Linked DNA regions of Macaca mulatta. The protein of the gene in region 1 interacts with the protein of each later gene in a pairwise test. Links are inferred from orthologs where the notes say so. Each region holds a gene or a part of one and is shown on either strand. Other genes may lie near its edges.

Region 1 (2,585 bases):
CCCTTCCCAGCCTCTGGTATCCAGAGCCTCTTCTCCTAACAGCACTATACTACCCCTCCCTGCCAAGAGCCCAAACTCAATCTTTCCTCTCATATGCTGTTGATAGTCCTTAAGCTTCACAAATAAGTCATGTATTGCTGTAGTCATAGTGGTGGTAGTGATAGCTGACATGTAGAACAGTGGCAGTACGGCTGGCACTGTTCTAAATGCTTTACACATATTAACTCTTAATCTTCACAACCCTCTAATGAGACAAATACTTTGCATATAGAGAATAAAACTGAGACTCACAGAAGCTAAATAATTTGCCAGTGGTCACATAGCTAGAAAAGGGTAAGCAAGGATTTGAAAATAGGCACTCTGGCCCGAGAGACTGCACTTCATGGTCCTTTGGACAATGTTTCCTCCTGCAGACAGAATCTCTGGAATGCACCGTGGCAGAAACCGAGGCCCAGTACAGCTCCCAGCTGGCCCAGATTCAGTGCCTGATCGATAACGTGGAGAACCAGCTGGCCGAGATCCGCTGCGACCTGGAGCGACAGAACCAGGAGTACCAGGTGCTCCTGGACGTGAAGGCCCGGCTGGAGGGCGAGATCAACACGTATCGGGGCCTGCTGGACAGTGAGGACAGCAGGCAAGTTCCACAGTTACTCATGATATCCCCCAGAGTCACAAAGAGGCTGATGTAAAAGAATCCTGTTTCCCCAAGGTCTGGACAAGTTCAAACCTCCCCAATGTGCTCAGGGATCTTCTTAAAAGAGGGCTGAACAGTGGCTGAGGTTAAGCACATGACACTAGAGATATTTTTAAAATATTATAAAGGCAGATTAATTATTAGTGTAACATTTCATACTGGCATCTCCCTTTGTTCCTGTTTTCCACTAAAGGAAAATCAGGAATAGGCCTGAGATAACATTTGCAAAATCAAGAAAAAATATAAAATTCTATTCAACTGCCACTGCTACAGTGAACATGAAGTGGCAATTCTGGGTGCGGAGAAGAAACAGGCTTCAGTCAATGCTATTGTGCAGAGTTTTTTTCAGAACATAATTTGTGGACAAACTTTGACATGGTTTGTCTGAGTTTCCATTTTATCAAGATTCCCTTGCTAAGCTTGGTTTAACATCAATTTTTCCCCAGGCTTTCCTGTAACCCATGTTCGACCACATGCACCTCGAGCAACACTTGTGAGCCATGCTCAGCCTATGTCATCTGCACGGTTGAAAACTGCTGTTTGTGAATGTTAAGGACAGCAGGTAGAGGAATCAAAGCCGGCAGCATCCTAGAAAGGAGATGGGGCTTCAACAGGGGCATCCAAACAGGAATCACAAATCCAGGGGACGCTCATATCCTGGAACTGCCCTCCAGGTATCCTCAGTCTTTCTGCTTTACTATTTCCTCTCCTTCCGGCTTATTTGTGGTATGCTGGGAGCCCATAAAGTGTTCTTGCTCATCTCCAAATAAAACATGTTTTACTCCTTTCACATGGTAAATATAGCTCTATGGCTGATTAGTGTTGATAGAATATTCATTTTATGGCAAGAGAATCATCTAAACCCATAACCATAGTTTCAACATACAAAAACCCAGGTTGAAAATATTTTTTAACTCCTCAAATACAAACACATTAATGAACCCATGCAAAATGTCATATATCTTAGAAAACAGTTGTGTGTATCTTTCTGAGAAAAAAATTAGGAATAGAATAATAAATTGTATTTTTTTATTATAAAAGTACTAGATTCTCTTTTCTGTAATTTGGCTGATTAAAAGGGAAAAGGTCACTTATGATTTCATCTTGCAAACAGCCATAGTCAATATTTTGGGGTACTTTCTTCTGGTTTTCTTTCTTATGATAGATTTTTCCACACAACTATAATCATACTAACATATGCACACACTTGTGTAATCTTTCTTTCATTTATGTCATCTAAGCATTTTTAATTCTAATCAAAACATAAGATTGTATTGTAGCCATTTTTTGTTTGTTTGTTTGTTTTGTTTTTTAATTTGAGGCAAAGTCTCCCTGTGTCGCCCAGGCTGGAGTGCAGTCGCGCTATCTCGGCTCACTGCAACCTCCACCTCCCAGGTTCAAGCGGTTCTCCTGCCTCAGCCTCCCGAGTAGCTGGGACTGCAGGTGCATGCCACCACGCCAGGCTAATTTTTCGTATTTTTTTTTTTTTTTTTTTTTAGTAGAGACAGGGTTTCACCATGTTAGCCAGGATGGTCTCGATCTCCTGACCTTGTGATCAAGGTCCTTGTGATCCGCCCACCTCAGCCTCCCAAAGTGCTGGGATTACAGGCATGAGCCACCGCACCCAGCCTGTAGCCATCATTTTAATGGTTGCATAATGTACCATAAGGTGCATTGATCTGTTATTGGACATTTAGGTTATAAGAATAATTATTCTCATACATTTAAGAGACAAGGTAGAGAACTTCCAGAATGATTCTATTTCCATATTCCTCCTCCTAAAAACCCTGGAAATTACATATCGAATAAACATAAGAAGACTCTGAAAGGTAGAAGAAGAAGCCAAACCACCTAAAGATATTGAGACCCCAGGAGTGACACTGTGGTGGGC
Region 2 (4,188 bases), on another chromosome or scaffold:
ATTTTGAACCAGCAAATTTGTTATCGTCACGGGATGTCCTGTTCATTGTAGGAAGTTGAGGAGCATCCCTGGGCTCTACCTACTCCATGCCAATAGCATCCTTCCAGTTGTGACAACCCAAAATGTCTTCAGACACTGCTAAATAGAGGGGAAATCCGTCCTTCCCCTTCTTTTGAGATCTGCTCCACTGTAAAATTCTCTCGACTTTGCTTTACACTTGAATTTTTTCATAATAAATGTTGGAGGAAAAAATAAATTATTACATTGAAAAATGCTCATGAAACACCATGCAGAAGATGTAGTTTATGAACACCTACAATACATACTGTCGTCTTTTTGTTTAAAAAAAAAGCGGCAGGGGTGGGGGGGGAGAGCTAGCAGTGATATTTAGTATTGCTAAATGTCAGTGTTTACAAATCGTATCCATGACACTTCTAAAATAAATATTATAAGGTGTATTCCATATAGTTGGATTGGGAAGAAAAACATTTCCAATTACCCTCCTGTCAGCATCTCCTTCAAACTACCCTTTTATTAAGAGGGAAAAATATGCATTCACACGGTTCCTCCCAGCTTGGTTAATGGGCGAGAACACCTAAGATAGCTAAGGCCACCATGCATCCAGGCTCAGATCTCCCTAATTGCCCTCCTCCTCCATGGTTCAGGGACAAGGAGGATCACGACTGTGTGGGAAGATACTAGAAATGCAAAATTTGGACCCCCGCCCCTACCTACCGAATCTTGATCTGCATTTCAACAGGATTCCCGAACTATTCCTAGGCACGTTCGAGTTTGAGGAGCATTAACGGACCGATTATTTGTCCCTGAAAAGAGCCCACTATATAGACTGACAGTGGCAGCCGCTGGGAAATGACAACGGGGTTGGCATGGAGAGTTATTAAGAAGAAAAACTCCAGCCGGGAGCGGTGGCTCAGGCCTGTAATCCCAGCACTTTGGGAGGCCAGGGGTGGCGGATCGCCTGAGGTCAGGAGTTCGAGACCAGCCTGGCCAACATGGTGAAACCCCCGTCTCTACTAAAAAATACAAAAATTATCTGGGCATGGTGGTGGGCGCCTGTAATCCTTGCTACTCGGGAGGCCGAGGCAGGAGAATCGCTTGAACCCGAACCCGGGAGGCGAAGGCTGCTGTGAGCCGAGATCGCGCCACTGCACTCCAGCTTGGGGGACAGAGCGAGACTCCGTCTCAAAAAAAAAAGAAAAAAAAAAAGAAGAAGAAGAAGAAAACTCTGCGACTGAGAAGTACCTAGCAGGGACAAAGCATTCCCTTAGTCGTTCCAGCTGCGTACACAAACACTGGCGGACCCGGCGCCCGACCGGCCAGCTCTAGCTTCCGGCCGCGGCCCTGCGCGCGCATGCGCCGTGCGCCTTGTTTTTTCTGATAGGCCGCTAGGTGAGGCGGTTTGTGAGTTTTGGGTCGCAGTATACTAGAATTTTGAGGTTTCCTTCCGGTGAAAATTGAGCTGTCCGTGCAGCCATGGAACCCGGGTTACAGCAGTGAGGGGGCCGCGACTCAAGGTTAGTCTCGCCTCAGCGCCAGTGGCGAGCGTCACGGGGGTTTCCCACGCTGCAGCGCCGGGCGCAACACTTTGGGAACGTTCCCGGCATGGCTGCCCGCCTCCCCTCACTGCAGGCGCCCATCGGTCGGTTTGGACCTCGGCGTTGCTTCCCGGCTTCAGCAGCCCCGCTCCAGCCGGCGACCTCGCCCCGAGGGCAATCAGGGTGCGAGGGTGGCTGCGTGCTGGGCATTCTTCCTGAGAGCTTCGTGGCTTGGGTCGCGGGGTACCGTGCTCCGTTTTTCAAAAAAAAAAAATCTGCAAGGAAAAGATATTATTCCACTCAGAAATAGCAAGTTTCAGTCTACGTTCTCTTAAATATATATATATATTTTAAATAATAGTAAAGGCGAGGTCTCCCTGTGTTAGCCAGGCTGGTCTTGAACAATTGGGCTTAAGCAATCCCCCTTTCTCCCAAAGTGCTGGGATTACAAGCGTGAGCCACCGCGCCCGGCTACAGTCTATTTCCTTACAGCATTCGCTGAAATCTTGAGTCATAAAATTATCTTGAGGGTTTTTTGGAAGGACTGAAATCTCTTAAGCGAAAATAGTTTGGCAGATAAATGACCTGTGACATCACTCCCGTAGTTATCCAATCAAGAGTCCCTCCGTCCCGTACTTCTTCGCTATTCCATTTCATCTTTGCTACCTACAATTCGATAGGACCCTCTCCCGACTTTGCTCACTCCCTGGGAGACTTTAAACAAATATATAGCTCCAAATAAGTGTTGACTCCCAAAATTATATCTGTAGCTCAGTCTCTCGTAGACTCCAAAACTGTATATCTAACTGCATGCTAGGCATCTCTATTTAACTAACAGTGTCTTAGTAGGCGCTTCATTACTTCAGCTCTCCATGAAGCTCTCCTGAAGCTCTCCATGACCACACCGTCCAAATAAATGGCACATCCATACTTTCAGTAGCTTAACGCCTTGGAGTCATTCTTCCGTGTCTCATGTAATTCATCTGTAAATCCTGTTGCCTCTTTTCTCTCCATGTATCCAGAACCTGAAGTTTACCAACTTGACCACTATAATCCTATCCAAGCCACCATCCTCTCTCCCTAGTTATTGCGGTGTCTATCTGGTTACCCCACTTTTCCTTTCACTTTTCTCCGTAGCAGCAAGTGTGGGGATCTTCGTAAGTCAAACCTCTCTTGTAGCTCTTACGTATCAGTCGGGATAAAATTCAAAATTCTGGCCATGCTTTACTAGTCCCAACATAAACTGCCCCACCTTTCCTTACTAAACTCTTTCATTCCCCCTGTCCCCAGCTCACTGTGCGCTGGCCAGCTGCTCTAGCACCCTCCTACCTCAAGGCATTTGAACATGCTGTTCACTTTCCCTCGAACACTCTTGGCCAAGAAAAACACATGGCCTCCTTTTCAGTTCCTTAAAGTCTCTTCCCTACAGTCACCTTAGGAGAAAGGCCTTTCCTGACGACCCCTTGTGCAGTCTCACCCCCCTGCTGCCTTATTGTTTCCCTTGTCCTTGTTTTCTTCAGGTTTCTTCACAGCAGTTATTTACTGGATATAAAAATTCTTTTTTGTTTTTTTTGAAACAGTCTCACATGTTGCCCAGGCTGGAGTGCAGTAGTATGATCTTAGCTCACTGCAACCTCTGCCTCCCCAGTTCAAGTGATTCTCCTGCCTCAGCCTCCCTAGTAGCTGGGACTACAGGCGTGTGCGACCACACCTGGCTAATTTTTGTATTTTTAGTAGAGATGGGGTTTCATCATGTTGGCCAGGCTGGTCTCAAACTCCTGACCTCAGGTAATCCGCCCATCTCATCCTCCCAAAGTGCTGTGATTACAGGCGTGAGCCACCGCACCTGGGCTGGGCATATAAATTTGTTTTTGATGTCATGGTATCCTCCCACCAGTAGAGTTGTTTTATTACTTTCATTCATTGTTATCTTAGTGCCAATGCTTGAACGTAAGTGCTTTAGAAACATTTGTTGAAATGATGACCAGGCCGGGCTTGGTGGCTCACGCCTGTAATCCCAGCACTTTGGGAGGCCGAGACGGGTGGATCACAAGATAAAGGAGATCGAGACCATCCTGGCTAACACAGTGAAACCCCATCTCTACCAAAACTACAAAAAATTAGCCGGGCATGGTAGCGGGCACCTGTAGTTCTAGCTACTTGGGAGGCTGAGCCAGGAGAATGGCGTGAACCCAGGAGGCAGAGCTTGCAGTGAGCCGAGATCGTGCCACTGCACTCCGGCCTGGGTGACAGAGCAAGACTACGTCTCAAAAACAAACAAAAAAAGAAATGATGACCAATAATAATAATAGTAATAAGCGGCCCGACACCGTGGCTCATGCCTGTAATCCCAGCACTTTGGGAGGCCAAGGCGGGTGGATCACAAGGGCAAGAGTTCAAGACCAGCCTGGCCAATGTGGTAAAACCCCATCTCTACTAAAAAACCCAGAAAGCAGAGGTTGTAGTGAACCAACTCTGCACTCTGGCCTGGGTGACAGAGCTAGACCTTGTCTCAAAAAAAAAAAAAGGTTTTTAAATTAATAATAATAGCAGCAAGCACACATAAAATTTACTTTGTTGCCAGGCACTTTCCACAAATTCTCATCTAATCATCACAGCAACCCTCTCATCC
Region 3 (4,152 bases), on another chromosome or scaffold:
CAAAGCATTAAGTGGTCATTGACAACCCTAATTTTAATAGAAGGTAATAAATGATCTTACATAAAGAACTACAGGTAGTCGGTAACTTTCGATAAACGAATACTAAAGAAATTTTTATGTTTTGATGCCTAAATGGTACCTCCTACTTTACAGATATTCGCTAAGAAAAATTTCAACCCAGAATAGAATGCATATTAAAGGACATATGTGTAAGGTCCATTCTTCAGCTTCTGGCCCAATTCTACTTACAATCTCAAATAGAGTTTTTTTTGTTTTGTTTTGTTTTATGTAATCTCTGCAGTGAAGATGTGCAAAAGTGAGATGTAGCTTCAGAATGATTATTTTCCTTTAGTTTCTCCAGGCAATGATGTCCAACACATTGGTAAACCATTTTAAATAAAATAATGAGGTATTTTTGTGAAGATTTGGCTCAGAATTAACCGGGAAGCTATCACTTTCCTAACTGCAACCATTGCTCGTACTAATGGAGGACTAAGCTACCCAAACTATTTAAACTATACATATTTATTTGGAAAAGTTTTATTTGATTACAACAAAGTTGAGTCATTTAGATATACCATATACATTAATGATTAAATTCCTTGATAATTAGGTAGAAACAATTGTATATAGTTATTCCAACTTTACTCTCAAAAGCAAAATATAAATAACATAATCCTTGCTATTTTTAAACAAGCCAAAATAATCTTCAAGTTTTTCCTTTTCACTCTGATAGCATTCTCTATCAGCAACTTGCATTAATGTTGCAGCTTTAAGGTGCCGCATATCATTTCATATCACCAGCACACAACAGTGTATCAAGAGAAATCAGCTCTGAATCTTACTCTGTAACAATGTGCAATTGCCTTGGTCTTGGATCCTTTAAGAAATACCAAAGGGAAACCTCAAAAAAGTCTTTTCAATAAACCCGAGGGTAGATTTGCTCAACGACCTGACCAACCAGGAAGTAACAGAAGTTTTGCTATCCTGTTGAAAAAAAAAACAAAAAAACAAAAACAAAATCACAGACATGAGATTGTCAAGAAGTCAGGGAGGAGACTTAAAGGTATCTTAATGAAAGTATTTTCTCCCTGCATCAGGATTAATAAGAATATCTGGATGCAAGGACACCAGGTTGCAAGTACACTAAAGAATGGTAAGGTCAGAGAAGTGTTTCCTGCCTTTAAAGTTCCTGAAAATAGAGGCTAGGCGTGGTGGCTCACACCTGTAATCCCAGCACTTTGGGAGGTTGAGGCAGGCGAATCACAAGGTCAGGAGTTCGAGACCAGCCTGACCAATATGGTGAAACCCCGTATCTACTAAAAATACAAAAATTAGCTCAGCAAGGTAGCGCGCGCCTGTAATCCCAGCTATTCGGGAGGCTGAGGCAGGAGAATAGCTTGAACCCGGGACGCGGAGGTTGCAGTGAGTCCGAGATCCTGCCACTGCACTCCAGCCTGGGCGACGGAGAGTGACTCCATCTCAAAAAAATAAATAAATAAATAAAAGGGAAAAAAAAGTTCCTGAAAATATAAAGTTGCTTAGATATACAGCAAGTTTATCGTTTTAAAACCAAATACACTAAAGCAGATGAGAACACAACCGTGACCAAGCGGTTGGGAGAAAGATGGATTTTAATGCAAAGTTGTTTTGTTTTTATGCATAAGGTACTCCTCGCTGTGCTCGAGTGCGGAAAGGTGGGGTTCTTCCTAAGGTTGATTACATAAAGCAAGATTCCAAAAACAAGAAAAGTGCTTTGCAAACACAGTAACTAGAACTGGCTGAAGCTTCCAGCGTCCAGTCCCATGCTCAAAGATCAGAAAAAGCAACTTTATCCACCACTTTAATAAAATGATTCAAAAAAGTTGAAGTCTTCTGAAGAAAGCCATGGTTGAAAACTTGCTCCGCTTCTTGGAGAACGCCTAAAGCCCTAACGGGCTCAAATTATTCTCCAAAGTCTAGAGCCCAAGCTGCATTTTACGCATTTATTAGACTACAAAACCACGGGGACTCTTCACTCAAAAGCAAAAACACATCCGGAAAGAGGAAAAAATCCATGGCCAATGTAACCCCCTAACCACACGAACCGCCCACGTCCTACCCCAGGCTGCAACGAGGTCGGCACTCACCCACCGCTCGCCCGGGAAACCCAGACCCAGGTATTTCAAAATCAGAAGCACGGCAGGCTCGTTGGCTCTCACGGGCAAGAATCTTAAACCCCAACTTCAGAGATACCCGTGCACGCTGGGCGCTGCCATTTTGACGGAAAGCGGGCCTTGCCCCGGAGGCCCCTACGCAGGTCGCCCTGAGCAGAGCCGGAGTGCCACGGAACCCCTGTCTCATCACCTCCACACCCAGACGTCGCATCCCCCGGCCCAAGGAATGCCAATAAATCCCACCCTGCCGACCATGATCGGGCGAAGTTAAGTCACCCTTGAAATCCCGCAAGGTCTCTCAGGCAGCGGCGAGGGCGGCCGCCGCCAGCGTGGGCGGGGCTGTCAGGGGCGGGGCGTCGACGCGGCGGCCTTCGGTAACCCGGGCAACGCGGCCTTCTAAAGGCACAAAGGGGCGCTGCGCCCCGAAACACAAATGTCTCCGCCAAAACCCCAGACGGTTCGCAAAGGCTCTCCGTGATGCGACTGCACGTCCCTCGAATGCCCGGACCCCCAATATCCGTCCCCCAGGAGCTTGGCTGGATGCACGGGCGGCCGGGCCTCTTATTTTCTCGCCCTCCGGCCGCGTGGAGATGCTGCTGGATCCCGAGCCTCCCGGCGGGGGCGGAAGCGGGAGCGGGGCGGGGCGGAGGCATCTCCCTCCTTGCACCGCCCCTTTAGCTGCCCCGAGCCCTGCCTTCGCCCGCCCCCGAAGCGGCGCGGGACGCCCGGCGCGGTCTGCGGTCCGCAGGGCTGCCGGCTTAGGCTTAGGACCGGCCCGCTGGCAAGGTCGAGCCGCTGCATTTTATTTCGTGCGTGGTTTCTGCACAGGCTGGAGTTCCGAGGTTGGGTCGTACTTGGGACCTCGGCGAAGAGGACCCGTTAATTTTTTTTCTTTCCAAAATGGCAGCCTCCAGTCGCGCACAAGTGTTAGATCTGTACCGGGCGATGCTGAGAGAGAGCAAGCGTTTCAGCTCCTACAATTACAGGTGACCCAGCGGGCACCGGGGACCGGGGGCCAGGGGCCGGGGACCGGGGATGTGGGTTGCCGTGGAATGTCCCCGGGAACTGGGAGCCACTGTCCTGCGCCGGCGTCCGCGAGGCAAGGACCGGGCTCCGCCATCGAAAAGCGTGCTCCTACCTACAGGTGTGGCCTCTGAGACCTCGGGGAGGAGCCCTTGTTTCTATCAGGGAAGACGTTCGTGTCCTGTGACGCTTTCCCCCTAACGACTATCTTGGTAGTTGTTCTAGGAGCATAATTAGTGTTATGTTTCTGCAGAAGAGAAAAAAAGGATGGAAATCAGCCATTGGTGAAGTTAAGGCCAATGTGTTGCATATGTAAAACTTCCCTTGAGCTGGAAGAGTTGAGAGTGGAAGTGGCCAGTGAGTTGCACACAGCGACAAAACTGAAGGCACACTCTAGCACCTCCCTAAAATTTCCTGGGTGTCGTAATGAGTTCTTTTGGTTGCAAGAATCAAATCCATTCTATTTAGGGTACGGTGGAAACGTGTAGCGGTAAAGGAAAAAGCGTCTCAAGCTTTAGAGCTGAAACAGTTTATCCTGGCTCACCAGACAGAGATCCCGCTTCCTGGACCTTGACAGCAGAATACTGAGGGCCTAAACTCTTACATCGTTAATATAACACATTCACTTTTTCCCACGCCTCCCCACTTCCCTATTTGCCTATGAGTCTTTTATTGTTACTCTTTGTATGTTTTTTGTAATTCAGAACCTCTGCTTTCACAGTGTTGCTGGTTGTGACCCATCATTTTCTTATGGATTCTCTCTGCATTTTTTTTAGGTTTGTTTTTTGTTTTGTTTTGTTTTTACTAACTACCTGCTCCTCTCTGAGTTTGAGCCATATTCCCATAAGAATCGGATTGGATCAACTCATCTCTTTACCCCAAGGCCCCCTTAGGTGACTGGCCAGACTGTGGATTGGATGTCATAAGAGCAGAGCCTACCCTTGGAACACACCTGGTTAGGTAGGCCGCGCTC
Region 4 (3,314 bases), on another chromosome or scaffold:
AACAGCGATAAAGCAAAACAGGGACCGCCGGGCTGCAGCCCCTGGCCCCGGAGATGACGGCTGGTACCCGTGCTTGGGGCGTCAGGCCAGCTCGCGGTGCCAGCACTGCCAGACTCGGCTGGCCACAGGAAACTGTCCCACCAATTCCTGCTGTTTGTTTTTTCTTAAGGCATTGTTCCTCAGACTTCAGAAAACCCAGCCACAAAAATCCACCAGAGCAATAAAAAAAAGGCACAAACTCGCATCTTCCGATGGCTTTGAGAAACTCAAGCCAGCTCCCCCAGGCTCACATTCCTGTTTCTGTCCAGTTTTGTTTTCTTTAAAGGTCACTCCATCCCCCACCCGGGTGCAGACCCCCCACCGCACACCGCTATGGTTCACAGAGGCAGGCCACAGCCGTAGAAAACGTCCTCTTTAAAAAAAAATAAGCTACAAGATGAGTCGAGTGGTTTACACACAGACTGTGGAGTTGTGGGTAATAATCAAACTTTAAGCACCAGTTTTAATCAAGTTTGTTTTGTATTATTAGATCTTTGATATTCGTTTTCTGTGCCTCGTGTCAACTGAATTCGGCAGCTCGGCCGCCTGTTGCCACAGGCTTCTTTCCTCCACGGCGCCCCTCGCGGGACCCACCAGAGTGTGCTTGGCTTGCGCGTGTCCGTGTGTCTGCGCGTCGCCGGCGTCTGTCCCGTGTTCCCTGTGAGGCTGCCACACCCAGGTGTGCATGTGCGTCTTGAGACCTGTGGGCCTGGGTGGCAGAAAGGCTTCCCGTGGCTGTTGTGCGCCGGGTGTCCCTGGACGCTCCAAGAGAGCCCCACGGTGGGACGCAGGCGTGACACGGGGAAGTTTCTTGGCTGAGCTTCAAGACAGAGACAGACAGACAAGAGAACAGCAGCTGCGAGGGAGTGCTACAGGGGTGGCTCCTCTTCCATGGGCTCCTCGTCTGCTCTGTGGATCCCGCAAGAGAAAGAGACAGGGCATGGGGCAGGTGGACCACAGAGAGGAGAGAACAGAATGTGGGTTAAAGGCTGTGCGCTGCCCCACCCGCCAGCCTACCCAGGCCCGGGGGCACCGGGTCCATCTGTTCAGTATCTAACGCTCCTCATGCGTCTCTAAGGGGCTTTGGCACTAGAAGGAGGGGGCCCCGCTGGCCTGTCTCTAGTCTGTTTGGCATGGCACATGCCATAAATGTTCTGACCCTGAACAGAGTGTCCCTGGACACAGTGGGGCTGGGTGAGCCTGCAGGTGGGCAGCAGGGCAGGTGGCCGGCAGGGCAGGTGCTCACCTCTTTTCGGCGGGCTTCACGCCCACGGACAGCGAGGCCATGGCGGTGACCGTCTCGGCTTCTTCGTTCTCGCAGGTCTGAGCCTCGATCAGAGAACGCCCTGCCGTGGAGGTTGCACGCTGCAGGCAGCGCCAGTACTTGCCTGGGGTGGGGTGAGGAAGGTCGCTCAGTGACTACACCTTAGCAGGATGCACGGCGGCCCGGGAGGGTCCTGCGGGACCCTGAGCCTCAAACGAGATTGATCCCTTATGATTTTAAAAGCACCCGTCTTTGAAGAGACGCGAAGCAGAGGACTGCATGGCTACAAGCTCGCGAAGACCGAGAATCTCTGGAAATGTTTCCCCATCGTGAGTGGCTCGAGTCCCTCCAGGAGCAGCTAGGACTGCAGACAGAGGCTCCTGTGGGCCTGGCTTTCCACGCTCCTTTCTGCCCTGGGAGCTCAGGAGTGGGGGCTGCCAGCCTGCTGGGTTGAGCCTTCCTATCTCTGGGAGAAGATGAGCTGGTGGATTGTTGCTGGGGCTGAGGGATCTTCTGCCTGGGCCCTCACAGAGGCTGGGGGTGGAGGGGTCCTGCATCAGGTACAAGCGGGTGTATGTGGAAGGCTGGGCCTGGCCCAGGGTCAGCTTCAGGGCTCTAAGGCCAGGACTCCCCCACACAGGGAAATGGAGAGTCAAGCTCTGGACTACACCTGCTTGTGTAGACAGTCAATCATCTGGGTCATCTCAAAGGCAAGACAAGCTGGGCTTGCAACAATGACAGGGTGTGGGAGGTGCCTCTGAGACAGGCTGCATGCCACGCCCTTGCACCCAGGACCCACTCCTTGAGGGTCGGTGCCAGAACGCGGAGGGCCTACATCCTGCCTCTTTGCAGGGCCAAAGGTTTGATCTAAGGACGTGGGCTTCTCTGGTCCAGGGAAGAGGCCGGAGTCCCCAGGGTACAGGTTCATAGCCATGGCTCCCACTGCTAGCTGGGGACCTAGAGCAAGTGACTTCACACTGAGACTGTCTGGGCCTTGATTCTCTAGACCTACAAAATGGGCTGATGGAACCATCCCAGTAGGCCGGCGAAAATCCAGTGGGAGTTAAATGTGAGTCTCTACTAGCTCAAGAAATGCAGCTGAAAGCAAGGCCTCCTGCTGCAGGCCTGGGGAAGCAGCTGGCAGTGGGATAGAGAAGAGCTGGGGGTATAGGGGGACAGGGATGTGGGGCAGTGGGGTCCCGCCACCAGGAGCGTGTCCCCTGTGAGCACCCGGCCAGGCAACTTACTGTGGATTTCCATGACTTTCTCCATGGAGCGGACAGCGTTTGCATTGGGTCTTTGCTGTAAAACCTTTTCTGGGAGAGGATCAAGCTGGAAGAAAATACGTAAGAATATAAAGACTGCCAATATAATCCACACGTACATTAGATGGGGTGTACCGAGACTGCAACTGTTTCCTGAGCACAGAGTCCCTTGTGGGGTGCATTTGCCCATAGAGTAGAAAAAAATAACTTTAAAAAGTCAAATGTGCTGTGGCATTTATTATATAACTTTTTTGTAAAAGTGGATTTATGTAGGCATTTTTTTAGGGCACTATAAGGTATATTTGTGGGTTCCTACAAGTAGCAGGAAGAAAGACGGCCCCCAGGAATGGGCTGGCACCAGCATGTGAGCTTGGTATCCACCATCGATGCCACAGGGTTACATTAGGGGGAGGGATGCTTACTTCATCATTTTCCTTTTCCTTGTCTTTCATTAATAAATAAAAATGTTTGAATATCCCCTGATCTTGGTTTTCTTTCAGGGCAGTGGAAGGTGGGGTTGGGGGAGATGAAATGGAAGAAGAAGTCAGATCTCTCAGAGGGAATCCTGCACACCAAGTTTTTCCCTAAGTACTGGCAGCAGATAAAAGCAGGGAAGAAGTTTATAGGTAAATGACAGGGCAACAGGGCAAAGCATTTGCAATACAACAATTAAAAATGGTTGACTGGCCAGGTGCAGTGGCTCATGCCTGTAATCCCAGTACTTTGGGAGGCCAAGGCAGGTGGAT
Region 5 (4,279 bases), on another chromosome or scaffold:
GTTCAGTCTGTGACTCCTAATGAGTCGGTATGTGACATAATCTACTGTGAAGTGAAGGAGACTGGTGGAGCCACGGTAGAAGAAATAGAAATGAGGAAATTAACTAACCAGGGTTTTCCCACTTTCATTCCCTGACGAGAACAAATAATCATTGCTGATACGGATTCAAATGCTGAGGACTTTCCCATACTATATCAAGGGCAGCAAACCTCCAGTTATTCAAGATCCAACAAAGGAATAGCTCAGCTAACACAGCACCTTTCTTAAAAGAGAGAAATGATAAGAAGCAAGCCCACACCTGCAATTTATTCTGAACAGCAATTGCTAAAGGATCAGAGAATCTGTTGTTTTCCATGATACCATAGATTTGACCTGATTCTCACACCTTCACACTGTTCTACCATACAACTGTCTTTTGGATAACTCTGATACCTAAACAAAATAAAAAATTTTAAAGGCCTAAGATACAGCCTAAATCATAAAAATAGTAGGCCAGGCACAGTGGTTCAAAATGTAATCCCAACACTTTGGGAGGTGAATGTGGGTGGATTGCTTGAGCTCAGGAGTTCGAGACCAGCTTGGGTAACATGCCAAAACTCCATCTCTACACAAATATAAAAATTAGCCAGGTGTGGTGGCCCACACCTAGAGTCCGACCTACCTGGGAGGCTGAGGTGGGAGGATCACTTGAGCTGGAGAGTTTGAGGCTGCAGTGGGCCAAGATCGCACCACTGCACTACAGCCTGGGTGATAGAAGGAGACCCTGCCTCAAAAATGAAAAACATTAGGTCGGTGCAAAAGTTATTGTGTTTTTTTATGGCCTAAATAAATAAATAAATGTGGTTTTTGCCATAAAAAACACAACTACTTTTGCACTTACCCAATAAAATAAAAAATAAATAAAAGTATTGTGGTATGGACAGTGTAACTATAACATTAACAATACAGCTTGAATTCTAATTCTTTTAAAACAGCCAGCTCTGTGGTCGAGCTTTGTTTTCTTATTCAAACTTTATCTTATTCATCTACCAGCAAAAGAGCTGTTTTTGGAGATGAAACAAATTACCAGAGATGACAGCAATTTGGCAAGTTTTGTAAATATATACTATTCTTCAGAAATTTGAAGTTACTGTACACACAGATTTAGTATACATAGAAAATTCCACTCCTATGCCAAATCTATGCCCCTGTATGCTTTCCACTTATTTATTCACTATTTTAAAATAATGGTACCCAAGTCGTTGTTTCCATTAAACCAGCAATCAAATAAAAGCCTTTTGGGCGATGAGGAGCATCTGTTCGGAAGGGGGAGGTGCCACGCTTGCTGTTTCTCTAAGCTCCCTGGGAAGGGAAAGACAACTCAGAAAACCTACAAACTGTAGCTCCTTCCGGTGCCCGCGTAACCCCCGAGTCCAGGAGCGGGCAGGGGCGCCGCTTGGTTGAGCCCAGTGGGCACCCGGTCTGGGTCTGGGCCAGCCCCGCCGCAGCAGCCCCTGGGAGGCGGCGCTGCACGGGCCTCCGCGCGCGCCCTGACCCCACTTGGGGGCGCCCCTGGGTGCCGGCGCGCGGGGAACGCGCTGCCGGGGTGCTGCGCCGGCTGCCACTGTTTCCCGGGACTTCCCTCTTGGAAGATCTCCAGGCGCAGGTCCAGGACGTGCTCCTGCTAGGAGTCTAGAAACTCCAGTCCAGCCCGGACCCTCCCGGGGCCTGCACTCCCTGCGGGTAGAAGCACGCGCCGCGTGTCCCCGCCGGATCCCAGAACTTCCCCGAAAGTCCTCAGCTCCGGCAGACCCTCTCCCTCGAAGTTCCCCCCGCCACCCCTTGCAAGCCCCCAGACCCCGGGGACAGCCGCTCACCTAGCCAGCGGCTCCAGTCACCGGACACCGGACACCGGACACCGGATACCCGCCGCAGCCGCTCTAGCCGCCTAACCCCGCACCTGAGCCCGCCCCGGGCGGCGCGAAGGGGTGGAGGCGGGGGTGAGGCTTCCGCCCGCCCCCTCTGGCCCCTGCGCCTCCCATGCACCCCTGCAACCCCCGAGGAAATTCCCTTCCCCCTACTCCCACCCCATGCACACTCTCGCCAAAGCCTCTCCCCAACCCCAGCACCTACCAGTGCTGGGCGCCCCTGGGCAGGGTGGCCCGATCACCCGCCACATCCACTTGGCCGCCAGAAGCCGTCGGGGAAGGGAGGGAGGGAAAGGCAGAAGCGTCCCAAGCGGCGCAGGCGGGCTGAGCAAATACTCTGACCGGGACGCCAAACAGCTCCTGCAGCCGGCCCGCCCGCGCCGCCCCGCCGCGCCCACATGCCGGGTGACTAGCGGGGCGCGATCGCGGCCCCACCCGGGCGCCTGGAGGCTCTCCAGGGACAGTCGTCGGCCAGGCTGCGTGGCCTGCGCATCTCGGGCCGCCTGGTCTGCGCGCTGTCCCCGAGCTGCGGTAGTCCGGGGTAGCCTTGCTCCTCTCCTCTCTTAGTTCGTGGGACTGGGATCTGCAGTCTATGATCTCTTGGGGACTGCAGGACTTAGATTAAATCAGCAGGTCTGGGCCTTTCCATGTTTCAGAGCTCGGGGTTCCATGCGAGGTGGAGGGTAGGAGGGTGCGCGGGCCCCACTTGTTCACTCGGCTTGGGTGCCGCAGGCCAAGGCGACTCTAGAGCTTTTTTTTTCTTTCTTTTGTTGACATTAAGTAAATGATCAAACTCTTTGGCACTTGTCGGTACAGGTGTGGCTTTGTAGGACAAGATGAAGGACGGAAAAGGCTGAGAAGGAGACCGCAGTCAACACAGACCAGGAGAAAATGAAAGAAAACTGGGGAAAAAGTTAAGATGCTGAAAGGAGTCTTGTGGATTGCAACAAGAACAGGTTGGGTTGGGGCCTGAAGACATCAGGGAGGAGCTGGCAGTCCACAGTTAGAGGAAATCTTGGAGGAAAATTCAGCAGAAGCAGAGTGGAAAGGCATTTCCACTGGAGGGCATTTTCCATCCTAGAGGAGTATGTGGAAGAAAACCGCCTGCTTTGGTGAACCCCAGATTTTATGTGTTGGGAGAGATGTAATAAATAGCAAACACCAGTAGTCCTCTCCACAGACTACCTGACCTCTTCAGGAGCCTGACCTGCTGGGTTCAAACATAAAACGTCATTCCCCGCCTTTACAAACGGCAGAAGCTATGCAGTCACATCAAGCCTCGGGGCAGGCGGCATTGTCAGGAAACAAGACCCAGCTATTTAGGAACCATTCCAGGGATCCCATCAGGGAGAAATTTCTGGTCTAAGGCTTAGTTCCTACTGCAGTTTAAATGATAGCCTATGGGGTGCTTTAGGCTGGAGTGGGATTGGCCCCTGGAAAGCTACTATGGCGAGGTCGAAATGAATCCTAGCCCTGCATGGATGGATCGGTTAACTATACAGGGTGGTTTATCTGGAAAAATCCCATAGGACACTGTGACAGCCACTTACCTTTCTCATACCCAGTCTCTCTCCAGGTCCTGACAAGTCCTTCCTTATAATAGCTCTGTCACTGTGCTACTAACCTCTGTACCTCAATTTCTTCTCTGGATAGAGTGTCTGCCTCCGTAAGTTGTTAAGAGGGTTAAATGAGATACCGCATGCAAAGGGATTAGAACAGCTCTTGGCATGTGGTGAGTGTTCAAACACATTTGCTCAGATCAGTTCATATCACATTAAGGTACTATAATTCCAGGTTCCTGCTATCTCACCCTAGGCTATGGTTCTGCCCACCATGCCACTTACATTCCAAGTCATTCCCAGGGATCCCGTCTTCCTGTTATTCATACCCTTGCATAGCTCCCCGCCACTTTGTAAAGGTTGGTTTGCTTGACCAATAGAACCCGGCAGAAGTGATGATGGTATGCCACTTAGGAGATTAGGTAAGGAAACATCTTGGAGCTTCTATCTTGAAAGAATGTTAACAGCCCAAAGGAACACACACTGTACACAAATAGCACAATCAGCTCAGAACCCAGACTCTTCCCTTTTCTCTCTGCCCCTTTCCATCCTTCTTGTCTCATGCCTCTTTCCTGTATTTGGCATGATCTCTTCTTCTCTTATTTCTATAGTTTCTTCTCCATCTTCTTTACTTGGTCTACCCTCGCCTCTACCACATTCTCTTTTTGTTCCCTTTCTCCTGACTCCTGGAATTTCCTTTTAATTGGCATGGTCTGGAAGAGAAAAGCTCGATGTTTTTCCCTTAATTTCAAAAGTAGACAATAATAATTTTTTTTTGTGTGTGTGTGTGTGTGTGTGTGATGGAGTTTCACT
Region 6 (3,500 bases), about 46 Mb from region 1:
TGGCCAGGGCCTCACTGGGGACGGTAAAGAGCTTGGCTTGGGGAGTTTTCAGCTTCCTCTGGTCCAGGTTTATCTCAAAGCCACCTTGAAAGATCAAATGAAAAACTCTCAGGGATTTGTTAAGTGGAATCAAGTGACCATTCCTATATTTAGCCACTTGAATTGGTGCAGACAAAGCCAACTCTGAGTCCCTTACAGAAATATATCTGACAAAAGCAGGAAGGATAATCTCACCACGGAACCAGCTGAAGATGAAAAATGTTCCCGACCATTCACAAAAAAAAAAAAAAAAAAAAAGAGGCAGTCAAAATTTCAGACACTCACCTTCACCCTGTGTGATGCTGACATTCTGATAAAACCTCTTCCTTTCTGTAAGAAAGATTTTTCAAAGAGGCAGTTTAAAATAACGTTGAGACAACTCAGGAAGCGACAGGACCAGCTTGTATCATTACTGCTAATGTTGATTGATTGGCTTGATTTTCATATCCCCATTCAAGGTCTGCCCTACTCAACATGGTATAATCAACTGCTTCTGATTAAAGCTGGGGGTAGGGAGCATCCGATCTCCAGGGAGGAGGGAGGAACAGGACATGCTGGTCATGCCTCTGCCAACCCCCCAGCCTGGGGACAAGTCTGATCAGGAGCATCTCGGCATGCTTTCCCACCCTCCCCACCACCAGTGCCACCCCATGCCAGCACAAACCTAAAGTCGGTGTCTGAGTGGGACAAAGCTAGAGACTCATTTCAGCCAAGACCCTGATGCCTCTAAGGAGTGAGTGGAAAGCCAGTGTGCCTGCGCAGGGTGTGCGTGTGAGGTACATAGGCAGGATGCAGAGCTCCCAAGGGCATTTCCCATCCCCTCTCTCCAATTAATTAACCTAATTAACCAGCTTGCTTATGTATCCAACAGGAACTCCAAACATTTCCTTCAAGAAAGGGAAAATCTGTGTCCTGTGTTTTCTTTTGAAATTAACTTGAATAAAATCTTACATGAAACAGTCTCCTTCTTTTAGCCTGGAGGGATTAACAATCAAGAGTACTTCTAAGGAATTATGCAGATTCCCTCAACTGATAACAAAGAAGTCACATTTTGGAAGCTATAAGCTATAACTTAGTCTCTCACATCTGTGACAAACACAAAACTTTCATTCATTCATTCGTTTGTTCACTCGTTCATGTGTTCACTGAGTTCTCAAAGTCTTCGGAGGCCCTAACTGAAGTTATTTATTGGAAATAATGATGCAGCATGTGGAGGAAAAAAGAGTAAATCATTTGCTTTATTTATTTATTTAATTATTTGAGATGGCTTCTCACTCTCTTGCCCAGGCTGGAGTGTAGTGGTACAATGTCAGCTCACTGAAACCTCCGCTTCCTGGGTTCAAGCGATTCTCCTGCCTCAGTTCCCTGAGTAGCTGGGATTATAGGCGTGCACCAACACTCCAGGCTAATTTTTGAATTTTTAGTAGAGGCAGGGTTTTGCCATGCCAGCCAGACTGGCCTCGAACTCCTGACCTCAAGTGATCCCACCCGTAAGCCACCATGCCCAGCCAAATAATTTGCTTTTAATGCTAAAAAAAAAAAAAAAAAAAAAAAAAAAAAGGCTGGTCACAGTGGCTCATGCCTATAATCCTAGCACTTTGGGAGGCCAAGGTGGGAAGACTGCTTGAGGCTAGGAGTTCAAAACCCAAGCTGGACAACATGATGAGACCCCATCTCTACAAAAAATACAAAAATAAGGCTGGGTGCAGTGGCTCACGCTGTAATCCCAGCACTTTGGGAGGCAGAGGCAGGTGGATCACCTGAGGTCAGGAGTTCGAGACCAGCCTGGCCAACATGGTGAAACCCTGTCTCTACTAAAAATACAAAAATTAGCAAGTATGGTGGCGCATGCCTGTAGTCCCAGCTACTCGGGAGGCTGAGGCAGGAGAATCGCTTGAACCCAGGAGGCAGAGGCTACAGTGAGCTGAGATTGTGCTGCTGCACCCCAGCCTGGGTGACAGAGCAAGACTCCATCTCAAAAAATAATAATAAAAAAATACAAAAATAAAAAATTAGCCGGGCATGGCAGCAAATGCCTGTAGTCCCAGCTACTAGGGGGGTTGAAGCAGGAGGACTGCTTGAGCCCAGGAGGCTGAGGCTGCAGTGAGCTGTGATGTCACCACTGCACTCCAATCTGGGCAACAGAACAAGACCGTCTCTTGAAACAAGCAAACAAAACAACAACAACAACAACAATAATAAACAAGCTTAAGTTAAAATTTCATTAATTCAAACAGACCATGAAAATTCAGGAGAAATTAGTATGTGTGCATGGAGAGGGAAGGGTAATGGAGAAGCAGGCAACTGGTTTTACTCCAAATATTTTTATGTTTTCCCATCATATCAGTTTTCTATAAATCTCATTTGCTATCACTAATACTTAAAGACAGAGGGCCCAAAATTGCATTCCACATTTGCACTTACTAAACTAAGGCCCCAATTTTTTTCCCACAAAAATATTTGTGTGTCTACCATGTGCCTTGGCACTTGGGATACAAGAGTCAATAAAATAGACAGGGAGTTTAAAGTTTTTTTTAGGATCAGATCTGTCCACCAAGATGATGCTGTCTTTCTATGGCACGATTTAGCACTTTCATCTGAAATCACAACACCGATTATCTCGTATGTTTTACACTAAAATTGGAAGTTTACAGCACCCTAGTGCTTTTAAATTTCTTTACATACTGTCCTGGTCAAATCCAAATGGCAGGCTAGACATGGGTCTGGAGGCCTCCTTTCCTCTCTCAGGTCTGGAGTGAGGTAGACCATGCCCTCCATGTTTTCAATGCAACAGGCTGGGCAGCATGTATAAAACCGGGCCAGGCAGGAAGTTGGGAAGGGCTCTGAAAGCTCTGACTCAACACTAGGGAAAGGGTCTTCCCACGTCAGCAGGAAGTGCCAGCAAGAGTGTACAAGTATACAAGAGTGAGCACTCTAGCATACTTCCAGGCCTGGTCTGGGAAGTGAACCCAAGAGACCTGGGCCAGAAGAACAGACTCAGGGCAGGAACTGCCAGCACAGGGCTGAACCTTCACAAGCTCCTGGGACAGCCAGGTTTCCCAAGAGGGAAGTCTTTTTTCTGTTTTCTTGGCCAGGCTCACTTCTGTAACTGAATAAGAAAAAACTAGACGGGAGTGGGATAGACGGAAGGCAGGGAAGGAGCCACCAAAATTGCTTAAAGCAGAAGAAAATCATGCAGAAAATGAGACAGCAGAAGGGCAAAAGGAGCCCAGGGGCTGCCAGTCCTCAGATTAGAAGGCAGGTACACATAGATGTGTTTTAGCCAGGGGCTCTCCTGAATGACCCACTGACACGTGGAGGGGCAAACGTGTCTTGGAACAAGCTTTGGTGAGTAGTGATCATGTTCCAGGACATATGGTAAGTCCTGGGAATGGGACATGTGCAAAGCTCATCTCTGCACCCTCCAGCCACTTACTGTGTAGTAGGAATACAGACCACTA
Region 7 (3,500 bases), on another chromosome or scaffold:
CTCAGACCCATAGGCCCCAGTACAGCGGCCTCCCCACACTCAGACCCACAGGCCCCAGCACAAAGGTCTCCCCACACTCAGACCCATAGGCCCCAGTACAGCGGCCTCCCCATACTCAGACCCACAGGCCCCAGCACAGAGGCCTCCCCACACTCAGACCCACAGGCCCCAGTACAGAGGCCTCTCCACACTCAGACCCACAGGCCTCAGCACAGCGGCCTCCCCACGCTGACCCAGGCCTCAACGTGCCCTGTGTGCCTGGAGAGAGGGGGGGTCTGTCCCCGACTGCCCAGCACCTCCCAGAGCTTGCAAAGCAGCAGGCCCACTACATTGCTAGCCCAGTGCTAGAGCCCGCAGGTGCCTGGGGAAGGTGGCACCGGTGCATCTTATGGACAACCAAGAACACGAAACAGCCCCAACTACTCGGAAGGCTGAGGCTCGAGGATCGCTGGAGCCCAGGACTTCAGGTCCAGCCTGGGCAACACAGCAAGACCCACTCTCAAAGCAAACCAAAAGAGGAAAATCACCAAACACCTCGATCACAACTACAAGAAGCAGGGATGCGAGTCCCTGCCGACCCTCAGGGCAGAGCCCTGCGTCTTGAGGGCAGCCTCACAGCCTTGCCCAGCGGGGAGATGAGGGACAGGGTTGAGAAGGTGACAGTGAGCCTCAGGACTTCCCACCAGGGCTGCTGAAGCACCCGGCGGAGGGAGGAGGCCGCCTGCGTCTGGAGTGCATGCTGCGTCAGAGCTCCATGGCCCCATCAGACCTCAAGGGTGGGGCACCCACAGGCAACACAAGAAACGCAGGCAGATTTACACAGAAGAAAATTTCTGGAGACAAAAAGAACTTTAAAAAACTAATGAGAGGGGCGCGGTGGCTCAAGCCTGTAATCCCAGCACTTTGGGAGGCCGAGACGGGCGGATCACGAGGTCAGGAGATCCAGACCATCCTGGCTAACACGGTGAAACCCCGTCTCTACTAAAAAAAAAAAAAATACAAAACACTAGCCGGGCAAGGTGGCGGGCGCCTGTAGTCCCAGCTACTCGGGAGGCTGAGGCAGGAGAATGGTGTAAACCCAGAAGGCGGAGCTTGCAGTGAGCTGAGATCCGGCCACTGCACTCCAGCCTGGGCGACAGAGCGAGATTCCATCTCAAAAAAAAAAAAAAAAAGTAACAAGGCCAGACGCAGTGGCTCACACATGTAATCCCAGCATTTTGGGAGGCCAAGGCAGGTAGATCACTTGAGGTCACGAGTTTGAGACCAACCTGGGCAACATGGCGAAACCCTGCCTCTACTAAAAATACAAAAAAATTAGCGGGGTGTGGTGGTGCGTGCCTGTAGTTCCAGCTACCCGGGAGGCGGAGGTGGGGGGATCATCTGAGTCTGGGAGGTTGAGGCTGCAGTGAGCTATGATCGCACCACTGCACTCCAGCCTGGGCAACAGAGCTAGACCTTGTCCAAAAAAAAAAAAAAGTAGTGAAAAACAACTGCCAAGGTCAGACTCGGTGGCTCATGTCTGTAATCCCAGCACCTTGGGAGGCCTGAGGTCAAGAGTTCAAGACCATCCCGGCCAACACGGTGAGCCCCTGTCTCTACTAAAAATAAAAAAATTAGCCGGGTGTGATGGCAGGTGCCTGTAATCCCAGCTACTCAGGCGGCTGAGGCAGGAGAATCGCTTGAACCTAGGAGGTGGAAGTTGCAGTGAGCTGAGATCACCCCACTGCACTCCAGCCTGGGCAACAGAGCGAGACTCCATCTGAAAAAAAGAAAAAGAAAAACTACTGCCACAAGGAAACCAGGTCTCACTGTGCAGGGACAACTGACCACCACGTCCTGCCTGAGGGTCTGGGGCTTCCCCAGAACCACACCACCACCAGCAGTGGGTGGGGGAAGGCTCTGGGACACCAGCCCACACACACCACCCGTGTGGACAGAGCCCAGGCCTGCACCTGCTGCCCCCAGTCACACAGGAGTTACTGACACGGCGGCCGTGTCCCAGCCTCCTCTTGCCCAGTGTGTCAGCCGGCAGCGCAGGACGGGACGCAGCACGCCACGCCCAGGGCGGCCCACCCTACCTTCTTTTAACAAGTCGGTGATGTCTGCCTGGTACCGGTTTCCTACTCGAATCTCTCCTTTATCTGCCAGCAGGGTCTTCTGCTGTGGGTCGTAGACTAGAGAATAGAAGAAGAAATCCTGGAAAACACCACAGGAGACAGAGAGGCGTTAGCACGCCCGGGCTGCCGGGAGGGTCTTGCCCAGAGCTCCTGCAGGGTGACACAGGTGCCGGAGGGAGGGCACAGGAGCCCCCACAGCTCCCGGCCATGCCCGGGAGGAGCCTACAGCGGGGCCTCGAGGGTCACCGGGGGATGCACCTGCCCCATGACCCTGCCCGGAGGAGACATGCTGAGGGTCAGCAGGGGCGGGGCCTCTGAGCAGCTACAGGGGCGGGGCCAGGCTCCACAAGCCCTTACCAAGGCAGGGTGGATACGACTGCAGCCCAAAAACCATGACTTATTTGCCTTTTTTTTCTTTTTTTGAGGCGGAGTTTCGCTCTTGTTGCCCAGGCTAGAGTGCGATGGCGCGATCTCGGCTCACTGCAACCTCCGCGTCCTGGGTTCAAGCAATTCTCCTGCCTCAGCCTTCCAAGTAGCTGGGATTACAGGCACCCGCCACCACACTCGGTTAATGTTTTGTATTTTCAGTAGAAACACGGTTTCACCATGTTGGTCAGGCTGGTCTCAAACTCCTGAGCTCAGGTGATCCACCTGCCTCGGCCTCCCAAAGTGCTGGGATTACAGGCGTGAGCCACCGTGCCGGGCTCCCTCTCACCTATTCTGAAAGCTACTCTGCGTTTTTTCTTTCAAGAGCTACCTTTAAAGTCCAGCATGACACCTGTTCCATGTGTGACCACGAGCCATGCTGCAGCAGGGCCTTCATCCTCTCGAACTGACACGACTATCCAGAGGCCAGCTGCCAGGCTCAGCCTCAGCTCCTACTCTGCCTGGATCTTTTTTTTTTTTTTTTTTGGAGACAGGGTCTTGTTCTGTCACCCAAGCTGGAGTACAGTGGTGCGATCTTGACTCACTGCAGCTGCCACCTCTTGACTCAAGCAATCCTCCCACCTCAGCCTCCCGAGTAGCTGGGACAACAGTAAGTGCGTACCACCACGCCTGGCTAATTTTTTTTACTTTTGTAGAGTTGAGGTCTCACTATGATGCCCAGGCTGCTCTGGAACTCCTGAGCTCAAGTGATTCCCCTGGCCTTGGGCTCCCAAAGTGCTGGGATTATAGGCATGAGCCGCTGCGCCCGGCCTATTTCTTTAAATTAATAAACACACATGGTTTCTATTTGGTGCCGGACTGCTCCACCGGCCAGGGCCTGGGTGTGTGTGTGACCGCTGTGTGATGTTTCTGCACTCCTGCTTATCTGTGATGTGAGTCCGTGTTCGTCAGGACTTCATCAGTGAGGGTTATTTGAGGCGAGGCAGGGGCACAATC

The links.
Region 2: the proteins of KRT40 (region 1) and RWDD2B interact in binary tests that used the Homo sapiens proteins (3 or more experiments, as listed by UniProt). The two-hybrid records come from large-scale screens. The link is inferred for Macaca mulatta from reciprocal best matches to the Homo sapiens genes KRT40 and RWDD2B.
Region 3: the proteins of KRT40 (region 1) and FARS2 interact in binary tests that used the Homo sapiens proteins (3 or more experiments, as listed by UniProt). The two-hybrid records come from large-scale screens. The link is inferred for Macaca mulatta from reciprocal best matches to the Homo sapiens genes KRT40 and FARS2.
Region 4: the proteins of KRT40 (region 1) and HDAC4 interact in binary tests that used the Homo sapiens proteins (3 or more experiments, as listed by UniProt). The two-hybrid records come from large-scale screens. The link is inferred for Macaca mulatta from reciprocal best matches to the Homo sapiens genes KRT40 and HDAC4.
Region 5: the proteins of KRT40 (region 1) and SH2D4A interact in binary tests that used the Homo sapiens proteins (3 or more experiments, as listed by UniProt). The two-hybrid records come from large-scale screens. The link is inferred for Macaca mulatta from reciprocal best matches to the Homo sapiens genes KRT40 and SH2D4A.
Region 6: the proteins of KRT40 (region 1) and ATPAF2 interact in binary tests that used the Homo sapiens proteins (3 or more experiments, as listed by UniProt). The two-hybrid records come from large-scale screens. The link is inferred for Macaca mulatta from reciprocal best matches to the Homo sapiens genes KRT40 and ATPAF2.
Region 7: the proteins of KRT40 (region 1) and MTA1 interact in binary tests that used the Homo sapiens proteins (3 or more experiments, as listed by UniProt). The two-hybrid records come from large-scale screens. The link is inferred for Macaca mulatta from reciprocal best matches to the Homo sapiens genes KRT40 and MTA1.

Annotation. Positions count from the first base shown.
Region 1 is NC_133421.1:65,360,202-65,362,786, reverse strand, and holds the end of KRT40 (keratin, type I cytoskeletal 40), read left to right. Parts: intron 1-413; coding exon 414-634; intron 635-1,140; coding exon 1,141-1,240; 3' UTR 1,241-2,085; downstream 2,086-2,585. UniProt on the Homo sapiens protein: May play a role in late hair differentiation.
Region 2 is NC_133408.1:18,479,810-18,483,997, forward strand, and holds the start of RWDD2B (RWD domain-containing protein 2B), read left to right. Parts: upstream 1-1,388; 5' UTR 1,389-1,535; intron 1,536-4,188.
Region 3 is NC_133409.1:177,928,686-177,932,837, forward strand, and holds the start of FARS2 (phenylalanine--tRNA ligase, mitochondrial), read right to left. Parts: upstream 2,801-4,152; 5' UTR 2,433-2,800; exon of another isoform or gene 2,400-2,432; intron 2,267-2,399; exon of another isoform or gene 2,130-2,266; intron 988-2,129; exon of another isoform or gene 846-987; intron 1-845. Other genes in the region: LYRM4 (LYR motif-containing protein 4), read left to right, coding at 3,057-3,142. UniProt on the Homo sapiens protein: Is responsible for the charging of tRNA(Phe) with phenylalanine in mitochondrial translation.
Region 4 is NC_133417.1:144,295,744-144,299,057, forward strand, and holds the end of HDAC4 (histone deacetylase 4), read right to left. Parts: intron 2,636-3,314; coding exon 2,551-2,635; intron 1,428-2,550; coding exon 1,286-1,427; intron 949-1,285; coding exon 909-948; 3' UTR 501-908; downstream 1-500. UniProt on the Homo sapiens protein: Responsible for the deacetylation of lysine residues on the N-terminal part of the core histones (H2A, H2B, H3 and H4).
Region 5 is NC_133413.1:20,954,097-20,958,375, reverse strand, and holds the start of SH2D4A (SH2 domain-containing protein 4A), read right to left. Parts: upstream 2,801-4,279; 5' UTR 2,159-2,800; coding exon of another isoform or gene 2,113-2,158; intron 2,038-2,112; exon of another isoform or gene 1,857-2,037; intron 764-1,856; exon of another isoform or gene 662-763; intron 1-661. UniProt on the Homo sapiens protein: Inhibits estrogen-induced cell proliferation by competing with PLCG for binding to ESR1, blocking the effect of estrogen on PLCG and repressing estrogen-induced proliferation. May play a role in T-cell development and function.
Region 6 is NC_133421.1:19,597,943-19,601,442, forward strand, and holds part of ATPAF2 (ATP synthase mitochondrial F1 complex assembly factor 2), read right to left. Parts: intron 370-3,500; coding exon 325-369; intron 85-324; coding exon 1-84. UniProt on the Homo sapiens protein: Plays a role in the assembly of the F1 component of the mitochondrial ATP synthase (ATPase).
Region 7 is NC_133412.1:178,885,956-178,889,455, reverse strand, and holds part of MTA1 (metastasis-associated protein MTA1), read right to left. Parts: intron 3,279-3,500; exon of another isoform or gene 2,826-3,278; intron 2,197-2,825; coding exon 2,079-2,196; intron 1-2,078. UniProt on the Homo sapiens protein: Transcriptional coregulator which can act as both a transcriptional corepressor and coactivator. Acts as a component of the histone deacetylase NuRD complex which participates in the remodeling of chromatin.